Anolis sagrei: one gene and its partner. The protein of the gene in region 1 binds, or shares a complex with, the protein of each later gene. Links are inferred from orthologs where the notes say so. Each region holds a gene or a part of one and is shown on either strand. Other genes may lie near its edges.

Region 1 (7,872 bases):
TATTAAGAATATTGTGTATAAAATTAACTTCAGGCTATGCGCATAAGAAAAACATGAATTATAAATTTCTTCTTTAGATTTGGTTCCCATCTAAAAGATAGATACATCTATTCAAATACAGCTATTTCAAAATACGGGGGGGGGGGGGGGTTAAAAATCCAAAACATTCCCATTCCCAAGGATTTGGGATAAGGAATATTTAACTTGCATTTATTTGACCGATATGTACAGAACTTATTTGATAGATATGTTCCTAGGGTAAATATGAGGAAATTACTGTAGACTGTCAGTTAATCGGCACTTGTGGGGATTGGTAGATGCCAGATAAATGTGGTTTCTGATTGCTTCAGAGTTACTATTAAAAACAGGACCACCTAATACTATACAAACTCTGTATTGACTTGATATTGATAATGTAATACAGCAGCTAAAAGCAAATGAGGACAAAGTTAATGTAACATTTAATACATTATAAATACTGATTTTTCTATATTTTAATTTTTATTCAGAGTATTACGGTATTGTTTCATTTTTTAACGATTGCTTGGGAGTTCCTGTTGCTTGAATTTCAGTTAACCGAGTTTCTACTTAATGTAACACTTAACACATTATAAAAATTGATATTACTAAATTATTAAAATATATTTACATTTTTATTTAGAGTATTATAGTCTTTGTTTTCAAATTTTTGCCCAGTTGCTTAGGAGTTCCTGTTAACTGAGAGTCTACTGTTCAGGTATTCCAAATGGGGGTGGGTCTGTAAATCCCAAACACCCCTGGTCTCAAGTATTTTGGACAAGCGATCCTCAGCATGTATAGATCCCATTTCTTCGATTCTAAGGTGCACTCCCCCACCCCATCTCAAAAAAACAGGGTGTTTTAGGTCCCATCTACACTGCCATATAAAATCCAGATTATCTGCTTTGAACTGAATTATATGAGTCTGCATTGCCAGATTATCTAGGATTAACAGAAAACCTGAGATCAGATCCTGAGACATAGGACCTGTCTGGAAGGACCCTGGAATATAAATTTATATTTTATTGATATGTTTAATTTTTATTATATGTTATGTTCTTAATTGTATTTATGATATTGTAAGAATTAAATTTTACCCTGTTAACTGCCTTGAGTTGCCTATAGGCTGAGAAAAGTGGTATACAAATACAGTAAATAAATAAATATTTGCTTAGAGAATCTGAATTATATGAAAGTGTAGATCCAGGCTTAGGACCCTTCCAGACAGCCCTATATCCCAGAATATCAAGGCAAAAAAACCCATATTATCTGAGTGTGGGCTCAGATAACCCAGTTCAAAGCATATATTGTGGGATTTTCTGCCTTGATTTCCTGGGATATAGGGCTGTGTGGAAGGGCCCTTAGAATCGCATGTGGGTTTTTTTTCCTGTTTGTGGTACTAAAATGATCCACAATATCTGCTTTGAACTGGGTTATCTGAGGGCCCTTCCACACAACCCAGAATATCTGCTTTGAACTGGGTTATCTGAGGGCCCTTCCACACAATCATATAATCCAGAACATCTGCTTTGAATTGGGTTGTCTGAGGCCCCTTCCACACAACCATAAAACCTAGAATATCTGCTTTGAACTGGGTTATCTGAGGCCCCTTCCACACAACCCAGAATATCTGCTTTGAACTGGGTTATCTGAGGCCTCTTCTACACAACCATATAACCCAGAATATCTGCTTTGAACTGGGTTATCTGAGGGCCCTTCCACACAATCATATAACCCAGAACATCTGCTTTGAACTGGGTTGTCTGAGGCCCCTTCCACACAACCATATAACCCAGAATATCTGCTTTGAACTGGGTTATCTGAGGGCCCTTCCACACAACCATAAAACCCAGAATATCTGCTTTGAACTGGGTTATCTGAGGGCCCTTCCACACAATCATATAACCCAGAACATCTGCTTTGAACTGGGTTGTCTGAGGCCCCTTCCACACAACCATATAACCCAGAATATCTGCTTTGAACTGGGTTATCTGAGGGCCCTTCCACACAACCATAAAACCCAGAATATCTGCTTTGAACTGGGTTATCTGAGGACCCTTCCACACAATCATATAAACCAGAATATCAAGGCAGAAAATCCCACAATATCTGCTTTTGAACTGGGGGCCCTTCCACACAGCCATATAATGCAGAATATCAAGGCAGAAACTGGGCTATCTGAGTCCACGCAGCCATATATATATTCCAGTTCAATACAGATGTGGGATTTTATACAGTTGTGTGGAAGGGACCAATGTGTGCGTCTTAGAATCGAAGAAATGCGGCCTTCCTTGGATATGTACCCCACTTTAGAAGCGGTTCCTCGCAAGGAGGTGGGGGAATGACCTACGCTCCTGGGCTCTGGGAGATTCATGTATTTCAGTGGTTCTCAACCTTTGGGTCCCCAGATGTTTTGGCCTTCAACTCCCAGAAATCCTAACAGCTGGTTAAGTGGCTGGGATTTCTGGGAGTTGTAGGCCAAAACACCTGGGGACCCACAGGTTGAGAATCACTGATATATTTCTTCTCTTGGATTGTGTAGACCAGGCCTGCTCCAATTAGGCCCGGCAGGTGTTTGGGCCTCCAACTCCGAGAACTCCTCCTCATTGGGCAAGCTGGCAAGGGCTTCTGGGAGTTGGAGGGCTAATGGATGAATCCTAGTGTAGGATGCCTGGTCCTTCAGGCCCACAAGCACTGGTTCCCTCCCTCCTTCCTCCCTTCCCGCCCTCTTCCGCTGGGGGTTCCGCGGGCCAAAGGCTCTCACCTGTTCCCTCCGCAGCCGCCCCGCCCCTCCCCCCCGCCGCCGCCCCCGCCGCCGCCGCCCAGGGCGGAGAGGGGGGGAGAGGGCGAGCGGGGAGTCCGTCCTCTCGGGCCTAAGAGCCGCGCCGCACGGGGAGGAAAAGGAGGAGCGCCGCCCGCTCCGCCCGCAGCAGCCTCAGCAGCCGCGCAACGACGCCTCCCTCAGCACCGCCGCCGTTCTTCTTCTTCTGCGCCTCAGCTCTTTCCCCTCCTCCTCCTCCTCCCCCCGCCCTTGGCCGCGCGAGACAACCGAAATCCAGACACGAGCCCCACTTTGCACAGCAACCCCCCTCCCCTTTGAAGTGCGCCTGCGCGACCAACCGCTGCCTCACAGCGCCGGCGCGCGCCACTTCCGGCCCCGCTGTAGCAAAGGCGCCATAGGAGAGCGAGGCCCACAAAGCTTTTCAAAAATGGCGTATTTCCGGTTCCCCCCCTCCTTTCTACTTCCGGCGTTCGATTGACATTGGAGTGCGCCTCCCTGCACGGACTGAATTGGGGTCTTTTCCAACGCAGTGATTCTAGGCAATAGGACTGCTTCGCGGTCGGTTTTTCCCGCCCATTCTTGGTCTCCGGCGCGGAGGGTCCCGATTGCTCGGGGGACTCCAAGGCCCAGGGCGCCTTGCGCGTGGGAGTCACGTGGCCGCAGGTTTGGCCCCGCCCAGTTCCCCCGATGGATCATGGCCGTTCTGGGCCCGGGGCAGCGCTGGGCCGAAGGTAACGCTCCTTCGGGGGAGGGTCCCTGGAAGAAGGCGGAAGAGGGTGGGCTCTGGGCGCAGAACCACAGGCGGTTGGCCCTCTGCGGGGAGTGCCCGGGTTGTGTCTTCCTGCCTATTAGAAGGGGGTTGGCCCCTTCCCACTGTAAGATTCTATGCAGGGGTCTTATACTGTCATGTCTCCCTTCCAGCTTAGCCTCCTGCCATTTCCCATGGCATTTTGGTTCTACTTTTCCTTATTCACCGGTTTCCGGGGCCAGGAAGACAGTCCCATCTTGTCTCCTGCACTGGGCTAATAATATAAAACTAGCCGTCCCCTGCCACGCGTTGCGGGTTCTATGTGGGAGGTTTGGCCCAATTCTGTCGTTTGTGGGGTTCAGGATGCTCTTTGGTTGTAGGTGAACTATAAAACCCAGCAACTACAACTCCCAAATGTCAAGGTCTATTTTCCCCAAACTCCATCAGTATTTACATTTGGGCATATTGAGTAACCGTGCCAAGTTTGGTCCAGATCCATCATTGTTTGAGTCCCCAGTGCTCTCTGGATGTAGATGAACTACCACTCCAAAACTCAAGGTCAATGCCCATCAAATCCTTCGAGTATTTTCTGGTTCAAGTTTGGTTCAATAGTATCATTGGTGAAGTTCAGAATGCTCTTTGATTGTAGGTGAACTATAAATGAAATCAACTACAACTCCCAAATGACATAAGCAATTCCTTTTCCCAATCCCAGTAGTATTCAAATTTAGGTGTTTTGGGTATTTGTGCCAAATTTGGTCCAGTGATGAAAATACATCCTGCATATTGGATATTTACATTACAGTTCATAACAGTAGCAAAATTACAGTTATAAAGCAGCAACGAAAATAACATTGTGGTTGGGGGTCACCACAACATGAGAACATATATTAAGGGGTTGCGGCATTAGGAAGGTTGAGAAGCACTGTTCTATGCAGGGGTCTTATAGCTCTGGATGTTTACACAGGAAATGCCATGTGTCCCAGCTTAGCCTCCTGCCATTTCCCATGGCATTTTGCTTCTACTTTTCCTTATTCACCGGTTTCCAGGGCCAGGAACACAGTTCCATCTTGTCTCCTGCACTGTGCTAATAATATAATACTAGCAGTTCCTTGCCATGCGTTGCTATGGCCCACATGAGGGTTCTATATGGGAGGTTTGGCCCAATTCTATCATTGGTGGGGTTCAGAATGCTCTGTGATTGTAGGTGAACTATAAATCCCAGCAACTACAACTCCCAGATGTCAAGATTCTATTTTCCCAAAACACCAGTGTTCACATTTGGGCATATTGAGTATTCGTGAAGAGTTTGGTCCAGATCCATCATTGTTTGAGTCCACAGTGATCTCTGGAGGTAGGTGAACTACAACTCCAAAACCAAAGGACACTGCCCACCAAACCCAGTATTTTCGGTTGGTCACGGGAGAACCGTGTGCCAAGTTTGGTTCAATTCCATCGTTGGTGGGGTTCAGAATGCTCTTTGATTGTAGGTGAACTATAAATCCCAGCAACTACAACTCCCAAATGACAAAATCATTTTTTTCGAGTGAAGGACATATATTGGGTTGTTAGGTGTCTTGTGTCCAAATTTGGTGTCAATTCGTCCAGTGGTTTTTGAGTTCTGTTAATCCCACAAACGAACATTACATTTTAATTTATATAGATATTGTATATACATATAAAAAGTAAAGGTTTTCCCCTGACATTCAGTCCAGTCATGTCCAACTCTGGGGTGTGGTGCTCATCTTCATTTCTAAGCCAGAGAGCCGGCTTTGTCCATAGACACCTCCAAAGTCATGTGTCTAGCATGACTGCATGGAGCGCCATTACCTTCCCCCCAGAGTGGTACCTATTGATCTACTTATATTTGTATGTTTTTGAACTGCTGGGCTGGCAGAAGAATATAAATATAATTTTGATAATATTATAATGTAATACAATATAATATTGCTAATAATATTACAGTATAATGTTATAGTACAATATAGTAATATAGTAATCAGCAGTGCAAATGGTACCCCAAGTGTCCGAGGACTTTTGTTTTCCTTGCAGTACAATAATAGCTTTTCTTCTGGAACAGGCATCCTCAAACTGTGTCCCTCCAGCAGGTTGGGCCTCCAACTCTCAGAATTCCTGATCATTGAATAAGCTGGATAGAGCTGCTGGGAGCTGGAGGGCCGCAGTTGGAGATGGCCTGCTCTGGAGTTTCTCAAATTATAAGGGGTCTGTGTGTGGAATAAGGGCTGGACTTTAGAGCTGGACTTGGAGGGGAAGTACTAGGGCAAATGTGCCAAAAAGGGTGGTGAAAGAGTTGCAGGAAAAAGATTTAGAACAGAAGTCGTTTTCTGTTTCAAAGTACTATGGGCAAAAGTTTGAAAAGGAAGTTGAAGAAATGTTTATTATGGCTACAGAGGGCTGAAAGAAAGTAACTTAGGCCCATCTACACTGACCATTTAATGCAGTTTCTAACCAGTACTGAAGAAGATGGTTTCACTGGGCAGATGATTACAGAGGAACCGGATGGTGATGACTTAAACCACAGAGCACTGATGCACAATAAGGGCTTTCTTTCATGTGCTTTTGTGGGAGTTTGTTGTCTATCTGCCTCAGGGCCCTTCCACACAACCCTATTTCCCAGAATATAAAGGCAGAAAATCCCACATTATCTTCTTTGAACTGGACTATATGGCAGTGTGGACTCAGATAACCCAGCTCAAAGCAGATATTGTGCTATTTTTTGCCTTGATATTCTGGGGGCCCTTCCACACAGCCCTATATCCCACATCAAGGCAGAAAATCACACAATATATGCTTTCACCTGGGTTATCTGAGTCCACACTCAGATAATGTGGGAATTTCTGCCTTGATATTCTGGGATAAATGGCTGTGTGGAAGGGCCCTCAGTCTGAAGCTATCTTCATTAAATGGCCAGAGTAGATGGGGCCTAAATGAATGGCTCCTGGATGTTTATAATGGTTCCTTCTCTTCTGTTATCTCGCATCAGGGCTGGAGGTGAGAACAGCCAGTTTCACAGTATTCCTCTGCGTACCAGTTGCTGGGGGTCAGGTTCATAAGTATGGCACACAGCAGGTGAGATGTCTTTATCTTCCTCACCTGTAGCAGGCTTCTAAGAAGCATATGCTGGCAACTCTTTGAAACCAGTTTCTTCCCAACAAGAATTCCCAGTCTGCTGTAGCTGGCTTCTTATGTGTAGTTTAGTGTTCCTGAAGCGATTCTTTGTTTTAAGACATACATTTAGTGGACCCTAGTTTGGTGAAACCAATCTGCTTCATACCTTCCACCTTTTGTTATGCATATGTGTCCTTAAATGTATGACCATATGTTTCGCTCTGGTAAATGTACAAATAAGAAATCCGTTTGTTTGTTTGTTTGTTGTTTGTTGGGTTTTTTTGCAGCATTAATTGATGAGCTCAGAAGAAATCCATGTCCATCGGAGGAAGTACAAGACAATTTTGACTACTGTGGCTGTAGTGATTGCATGAGAATGAAGAAGGAGCATGTGCCCGACAGCGGAAGGACTCAGTCAGTGCCTGGGGAAGGGAGCAGCACTTACACAAAGGAGCAATTACTTGGGGTGCAAAGGTAAATAGGAACCCTCTCTGCTTCAGCCTTCTTTCCCCACATGATAACACTTCAGATGTTTTTGAGTATAACTACTAGAATTATCCATGACTATGCTGGGTTGGTTTAGTGGAAGTCCTGTAGATCTAAAGGAGAAGCTTGGGGTGGAGTGGCAACCTGTAATTTGAGTAACTTCTTCTGAACAAATCTTGTTAAGAAAACTCTTCCAAGTTGGAAACAACTTGAAGGTATACAACCACCACAAAATTAATAAATGTGAAGTTCAGTAGCGGAAAGTGCAGTAAATTATCTGAGGTAAATTTTAATTGTGGGAGCAAATTATTAAAAGGTGTAGCCTTTTATTTTTATTTAATCTATTCTAATTCCAACATTTTACTAGGGAATAGAAATACTTTTGATGACTTTTTCTGCTTACAGTGTTGAACTTCTTTAATGGAGTTTTGACAGTCTTAACAGGCATCTATAAAGACAGTTTATGATCATTCTATCATATCTATTATACAGTAAATGCAGTTTAATCAGATTATTGATAATCGTAACAGGATTATAATGTTGATAGCCTAAAATATACAGTAAATGAATTATAAAATTTTAAAAGTTAGATTGCACAAGAAAAGGAATTTTTACATTTGTAACTAGGTTTTCCCAAGCTTTTTGGATTCCAGGATAAATAAATCAACACATCTGGAGGGCACCAGATTAGGATAGCTTGTAGTTTAAA
Region 2 (7,030 bases), on another chromosome or scaffold:
CATGGGTCCTGCACCCCTAACCTCCACAAAAGGAGGCCTCAAGCAATGTTGCTGACAGGCCTCAAGCAATGTTGGTGCCTTGTTCTCACCGTTGAAATGGCAAGGCAGATGGACAAGGCATCTGTGGGCAACGCCAGTGCCAGATCCGAAAGGTGATGAAGGAGTTTCTTCTCAAGCTCAGGGTCTGTTACCAGATCCCCAGATTCAGTAGCAGTGCTGGGTGTGACAGACGAAGAGACCGGGCTGTCACTGCGGAAGGGAGGGCTGAGGGCCAGCTCTGGATTCCTGAGGTCTGGAAAGAGGATGGAAGAAGACACAATAGCACTGTCCATGCAAGAAACATTTTGTCATTTACTCCATTTCTGTTTCAACCTGCTGTCCTCACTTTATTCTTTCCTTGGCCTTCAGCCTTGTTTGACATTCAACCGGGCCAACTGGATTGGAATTCCCAGCAGCCTCATCCAACACCAGAGGCACTCCAAGTGGCCAGATACTGGTCAAAGGACATTTAATCAACTACCAAGCTTGCAAATTTTGTGTTTTGTCTGTTTGTTTGTTTTGTTCTGTTAGAAATGTAATACAATTGTCTGGTTGCCCCTGACACGATAAATAAATAAATCCAACACATACTATGGCTGAACTGGGAAGGACAGTCCAACAATACCCAGATGCCATGTGATTTCCATCCCTGGTACATTGTATTACCCATAGAAATCTTAGTCACATATTCCAAAATAAAAATGTGGAGGAAATCTGAGGTCATTTTTGGATTTAGAGCACCAAATGTATATCAAACTAGCACACAGTTTTATACAGTTTTTATGACCCTCAGTTTTGTTGGTTTCTCCAAACTTAGTGTACCTTCATCACCTTGTGAACTTATGCTGACTCCATGAATTTTATAGGGTCTTTTTTGTTAGCAGAGCATCCAAAAACACAAATAGAGTACTTATAATTGAGCATTCAGTTCACAGCTCACAGCAAGCAGAGCGTGAAGTGTTGTGGCCAGGAAAGAATTTAGAGTTTAGGAGGTAAGATGCAGAGTTCAATCTTTAAAGTTACAAAAGGTTTATTTACAAAAATGATAACTACATTTCTTAATAGTAAAGAACTCGTCTGAGCTACTCTCTAACTCCAACTGGATCTAGACACTAGACTCCTGCTGATGCAAGCCAAAATCCCATTGGCCTTTTTTGCCGCCGCATCACATTGTTGGCTCATGTTTAACTTGTTGTTCATGAGGACCCAAAGATCTGCAAGTCGCTTCTGGTGTGAGAGAATTGGCTGTCTGAGAGGATTTTGCCCAGATGTTTTACCATCCTGTGGGAGGCTTCTCTCATGTCTGACTTGGCCACTGTAGTCCGCTGTGGTTACATCCCGTATAAACTACTGCAACGCTCTCTACGTGGGGTTGCCTCTGAAGACTACTCGGAAGCTTAAAATGGTCCAACTGTCGGCAGCCAGGATGCTAACAGGAGCGGCTCTCAGGGAGCATACCATTTCTCTGTTGCGCCAGCTCCACTGACTGCCAATTTGCTACCGGGCACAATTCAAAGTGCTGGCTTTAGCCTTTAAAGCCCTAAACGGTTCTGGCCCGACCTATCTGTCCGAATGCATCTCCTCCTATGAACCAGTTAGGACGTTAAGATCGTCTGGGGAGGCCCTGCTCTCGATCCCGCTGGTTTCACAAGCACACCTGGCGGGGACGAGAGACAGGGCCTTCTCAGTAGTGGCCCCCCGGCTGTGGAACGCCCTTCCTACAGACATTAGATCGGCCCCCTCCTTATTGACATTCAGGAAGAGAGTGAAGACCTGGCTCTTCGAACAAGCTTTCAACTAAGCAGTGCAATTGATTGATTTCTGGAATATGGATTAATGGACAACGAGATCGGATGCTGATTCTATCGATGAGACGTGATGGATTGTTGTTTTCCTGTATTGTTGTATTGATGTTCTGATGTTAATTAATTGATTTAATTGTTTTAAATGATTAATGATTTTGTACTGTGTTGTTGATACTGGTTGTTAACCGCTCTGAGTCACCTGATGGCTGAGAAGAGCGGTATACAAGTGAAGCAAATAAATAAATAAATAAATGTCCCTGCACGAGAAGCTGGAGCTGACAGACAGGAACTCACCCTGCTCCCTGGATTCGGACTGCCGACCTTTCGGTCAGCAGAACTACATGGGAGTTGTAGTTTTGCAAGGCCTTCTGTGGCAAAGAGTGCTGGTGCCTCACCAAACTACAGCTCCCAAGATTACATATTATAGAGCCAAGGCAGAGAAAGTGGGGTCAAACTGCATTCATTCTACAGTGATTAACTGATGTCCAAAGCCCTGGAAAGCTAGAGGAGATTCCATCTGAACATGAGGAAGAACTTCCTGACTGTGAGAGTCGTTCAGCAGTGGAACTCTCTGCCCCGGAGTGTGGTGGAGGCTCCTTCTTTGGAAGCTTTTAAACAGAGGCTGGATGGGTTGTTGTAGGTTTTTCCGGGCTATATGGCCATGTTCTGGAGGCAATTTTTCTCCTGACGTTTCGCCTGCATCTATGGCAAGCATCCTCAGAGGTAGTGAGGTTGAGAGAGGTAGAGAGGCTGGATGGCCATCTGTCAGGGGTGATTTGAATGCAATAGTCCTGCTTCTTGGCTGAATGGGGTTGGATTGGATGGCCCAGGAGGTCTCTTCCAACTCTTTGATTCTATGATTCTCTCCATTTTACCTTCACCCCCTTTTCACACATACAAGCCCATAAATGGCCTTTGCTTTCCCATTCAAACCACCACAAAACCATTCCGGCCTTCATTATTATTATTATTATTATTATTATTGCTATTATTATATTTTACCCAGGGGTTCTTGCTTCCGCCTCCGCTGCAGCCGCTCCCGCAGCGAGTCCAGCTGCTTCTTGTGAGCCTGGATCGAGCTCCATGTGTCTGACATCTCCCCGGCCAGTACATCAGCCAGAAAGGCGTCTCAAATAGGCAACCGGAAGTCTCTCCCTGGGGGACGGAGGGACGGAGATAATGTGAGCACACTTCCGGTTTGAAGCTCTTTAGGGACAGAGCGGTCGCTAAGACAAAGGGGAAGTGGATGTTCAAGCCGGAGCGATGCTCAAGCAGCCATTTTGGAAATGGGCACATTTTCCCTCTTTCTTGTTCCCGCCTGCCTTTGCATCATCTGCTTCACATATTTATTATTTTTATTATTATTTATTTATTATTTGCATTTATTGACCGCCCCTCTCAGCCCGAGGGCGACATATGAGATGCATGGTTTTGAATAGGGTTTTCTGAGACGAGGTGGCTTTGGCAGTTGTTTCCTATGAAATATAGCCTACTGTGGTATCTCAATCCTTCTAGGCTTGCCTTCAAGTTACACCCTTTTTAATTTTATTATTATTAATATTAATATTAATATATTATTTCAGTGGGACAATGAATTCTACGAACAGAAAGATGGAGTAGCTATGGGGAGCCCTCTCAGCCCGGTCATAGCTAACTTCTATATGGAACACTTTGAAAAACAAGCCCTGGAGGCAGCAACCAAAAAGCCCACGATATGGTTCAGATATGTGGATGACACCTTCACCATTTGGAGCCACGGAGAAGAAGAACTCAACAGGTTCCTGGACCATCTTAACAGCATCCACCCAAACATCCAGTTCACTGTGGAAAAAGAAAAGGAAGGAAGACTGCCTTTTCTAGATGTCCTAGTCATCCGTAAACCAGATCAACAATTGGGTCACACCGTTTACAGAAAACCCACACACACAGATATCTACATAAAAACTCCAACCATCACCCAAGTCAAAAAAGAAGCACCATTAAAGCCTTGGCAGACCGTGCAAAAAGAATCTGCGAATCCCACCTCCTCCAAGATGAACTGAACCACCTCAACTGGGCTCTCCAGGCCAATGGAGACTCCACCTCAGACATCAGAAGAGCTGCAAGACCAAGAACAAGCCACGAGAGTCAAGATGAAGATCCACCCAGAGGAAAAGTGTTTCTGCCATACATCAAGGGAACCACTGATCGCATAGGGAAGCTGATGAGGAAACACAACATACAAACAATCTACAAACCCACCAAGAAAATCCAACAAATGCTACGTTCAGCAAAGGACAAGAGGGATCCTCTCATCTCTGCAGGAGTCTACCGTATACCATTCAGCTGTGGACAAGTCTACATAGGGACCACCAAACGCAGCGCCCAGACACGCATCAAGGAACATGAAAGGCACTGCAGACTCCTTCAACCAGAGAAGTCAGCCATAGCAGAGCACCTGATGAACCAGACTGGACACAGCATTTTATTTGAGAACACAGAAATGCTGGACCACACCAACAACCACAATGTCAGACCACACAGAGAAGCCATTGAAATCCACAAGCATGTGGACAATTTCAACAGAAAGGAAGAGACCATGAAAATGAACAAAATCTGGCTACCAGTATTAAAAAACTCTAAAATTACAACAGCAAAACAGCAGAGAGGAAACAACCAGGCACATCTTAACACCTCTCAACAAAAGATTCTCCTAGGCTCAGCCAGGCCTTCAAATGCTAATGAAGGTGGTCAGTTGAAACATTCACACCTAGCTCCAGCAGGGAAGAGCTCTTTGCCCCACCCCAGCCATTCCACAGATATATAAACCCATTGTCCTAATTCCAACAGACCTCACTACCTCTGAGGATGCTTGCCATAGATGCAGGCGAAATGTCAGGAGAAATGCCTCTAGAACATGGCCCTATAGCCTGAAAAAACCCACAAGAACCTAAACAATACATCAATTACGCAATAAAAACCAGGGCCGGGCCAGTGATGGGTACAGGTTAAAAAAGTGCTGGGTGTGGCAGGTGGTATTTTGGATTTCCGGGCAAGTGCAATGTGCAGAGAGTCCTAAACTCTAATAAAGTGCTTCTGGGACGTAGTGCTGGAGATTATCCTATTCCGGAAAGGCACATCGGAATAGCCAGGTCTTCAGATTCTTCCTGAAGACTGCCAACGTGGGTGCTAGTCTAATGTCTTTGGGGAGGGTGTTCCAGAGTCGGGGGGCCATCACAGAGAAGGCCCTGTCCCTCGTACCCACCAAACTCGCCTGTGACGCAGGTGGGATCGTAAGCAGGGCCTCTCCGGATGAACAAAGGGATTGTGTGGGTTCATACACGGAGATGCGGTCACGCAGGCAGGCAGGTCCCAAACCGTTTAGGGCTTTGTAGGTAAGCACCTGCACCTTGAATTGGGTTCGGTAGGTAAACGGCAGCCAATGGAGCTCCTTAAACAGAAGGGTTGACCTCTCTCTGTAAGGAGCGCCCGTTAACATCCTGGCCGCCACCCGTTGAACCAGTTGGAATTTCCGAGCCGTTTTCAAGAGCAGCCCCACATAGAGCGCATTACAGTAATCCAATCTGAATTTGAAATTTGAAAGGGTTTTTCATAGAATTATAGATTTGAAATAGATTATTACTTACTTAGGCCACTGTTTCTCAACCTGGGGATCGGGACCCTTCGGGGGGGTCGCAAGGGTCCCCAAAGACTATCAGAAAACACAGTATTTTCTGTTAGTCATGGGGGTTCTTGTGTGGGAAGTTTGGGCCAATTTTATCGTTGGTGGGGTTCGGAATGCTCTTTGATTGTAGGTGAACTATAAATCCCAGCAACTGCAATTCTTAAATGTCAAGGTCTATTTTCCCCAAACTCTACCAGTGTTCATATTTGGGCATTGTGCTGGTACAGCTGTACCAGGAGCTCCAACTTTATTTTCTTTCTGTTATCTGTTTGCAGTCATAGGGCAGGCCGCCTGTCCATCATAATTAAGCTTTGGTTCCGCCCCTTGTTCAGGACTCTGGGAGGGAAAGGAGCCATTTTTTTTTGGCAGTCTCACATAAGGAAGCTAAACTATAGGATGTAGACCAGCTCGTCCCGTAGAAAAGCTTCTTTTCTCAAGAACATCCGGGGAAACATAAACAGATATTCCAGGGAAAAGGTCCCAAGGCTCTGGCTGAGAGCTCATAGCCTCTCAGCCTCACAGCAATCAGAGGGAAAACAACCCTGAGGTTTTAAAAGAATTCTCTGAGGGAGGATAGAACTACAGATCCATGGAACTCCATCTGAAATGACTACAAGCCTCGGCTGGTAGGTCTACTCGATACCCAGACACATTTGGAATTGGTAGTAGGACCCACACCAATGAGGCATAGATAGTAAACAGCCTGGGAGAGGTTAAATAGGGTTTTTTTTCCTACAGAGAAAGTACAGTTAATTAAAGTCAGGTACCAGTCCATTGAGGACTAGACTAAGAAAGACTTGAAGTGTTGTTTGAACCATTGAAGATTTGTTGTTTGTTCCATAATAAAGACTTTGTTTTATCATTAAAGACTCTAAAGACCATTAGTTCAGAAAAATCCCTGAGAACCTCTCTTTGAGGCTTCCTGTTGGGCTTAAAGTATACGTCCTATAGAAAAGACAGCTGTTACAGGCCCAGCACGTGACAGAACAGGCATATTGAGGATTTGTGCCAAGTTTGGTCCAGATCCGTCATTGTTTGAGTCCACAGTGCTCTCTGGATGTAGGTGAACTACAACTCCAAAAACTCAAGGTCAATGCTCACCAAACCCTTCCAATACTTTCTGTTGATCATGGAAGTTCTGCAAGCCAAGTTTGGTTCAATTCCACTGTTGGTGGAGTTCAGAATGCTCTTTGATTGTAGGTAAACTATAAATCCCAGCAACTACAACTCCTAAGTGACAATTCCCCTGCCAACCCCACCAGTATTCAGATTAGGGAATATTGAGTATTTCTGCCAAGTTAGGTCCAGATACATCATTGTTTGAGTCCATCCAAATGACAAAATCACCCCCCCCCCCCCCGTCACCCTACCAGTATTCGAATTTGGGCCAAATGTGGTCTAGTGAATGAAAATACATCCTGCATATCAGATGTTTACATTACAATTCATAACAGTAGCAACATTACAAATATGAAAGTAGCAATAATGTTATGGTTGCGGGGCCAACCAAGGGCAAGATGTA

What was found.
Region 2: ZC3H13 (region 1) and METTL3 share a complex: the UniProt entries of both Homo sapiens proteins name them as parts of the WMM complex. The link is inferred for Anolis sagrei from reciprocal best matches to the Homo sapiens genes ZC3H13 and METTL3.

What each region holds. Positions count from the first base shown.
Region 1 is NC_090021.1:140,393,950-140,401,821, reverse strand, and holds the start of ZC3H13 (zinc finger CCCH domain-containing protein 13), read right to left. Parts: upstream 3,003-7,872; 5' UTR 2,783-3,002; intron 1-2,782. Other genes in the region: DNAJC18 (dnaJ homolog subfamily C member 18), read left to right, coding at 3,495-3,531, 6,965-7,151. UniProt on the Homo sapiens protein: Associated component of the WMM complex, a complex that mediates N6-methyladenosine (m6A) methylation of RNAs, a modification that plays a role in the efficiency of mRNA splicing and RNA processing.
Region 2 is NC_090026.1:10,921,577-10,928,606, reverse strand, and holds the start of METTL3 (N6-adenosine-methyltransferase catalytic subunit), read right to left. Parts: upstream 3,007-7,030; 5' UTR 2,941-3,006; coding exon 2,847-2,940; intron 293-2,846; coding exon 90-292; intron 1-89. UniProt on the Homo sapiens protein: The METTL3-METTL14 heterodimer forms a N6-methyltransferase complex that methylates adenosine residues at the N(6) position of some RNAs and regulates various processes such as the circadian clock, differentiation of embryonic and hematopoietic stem cells, cortical neurogenesis, response to DNA damage, differentiation of T-cells and primary miRNA processing.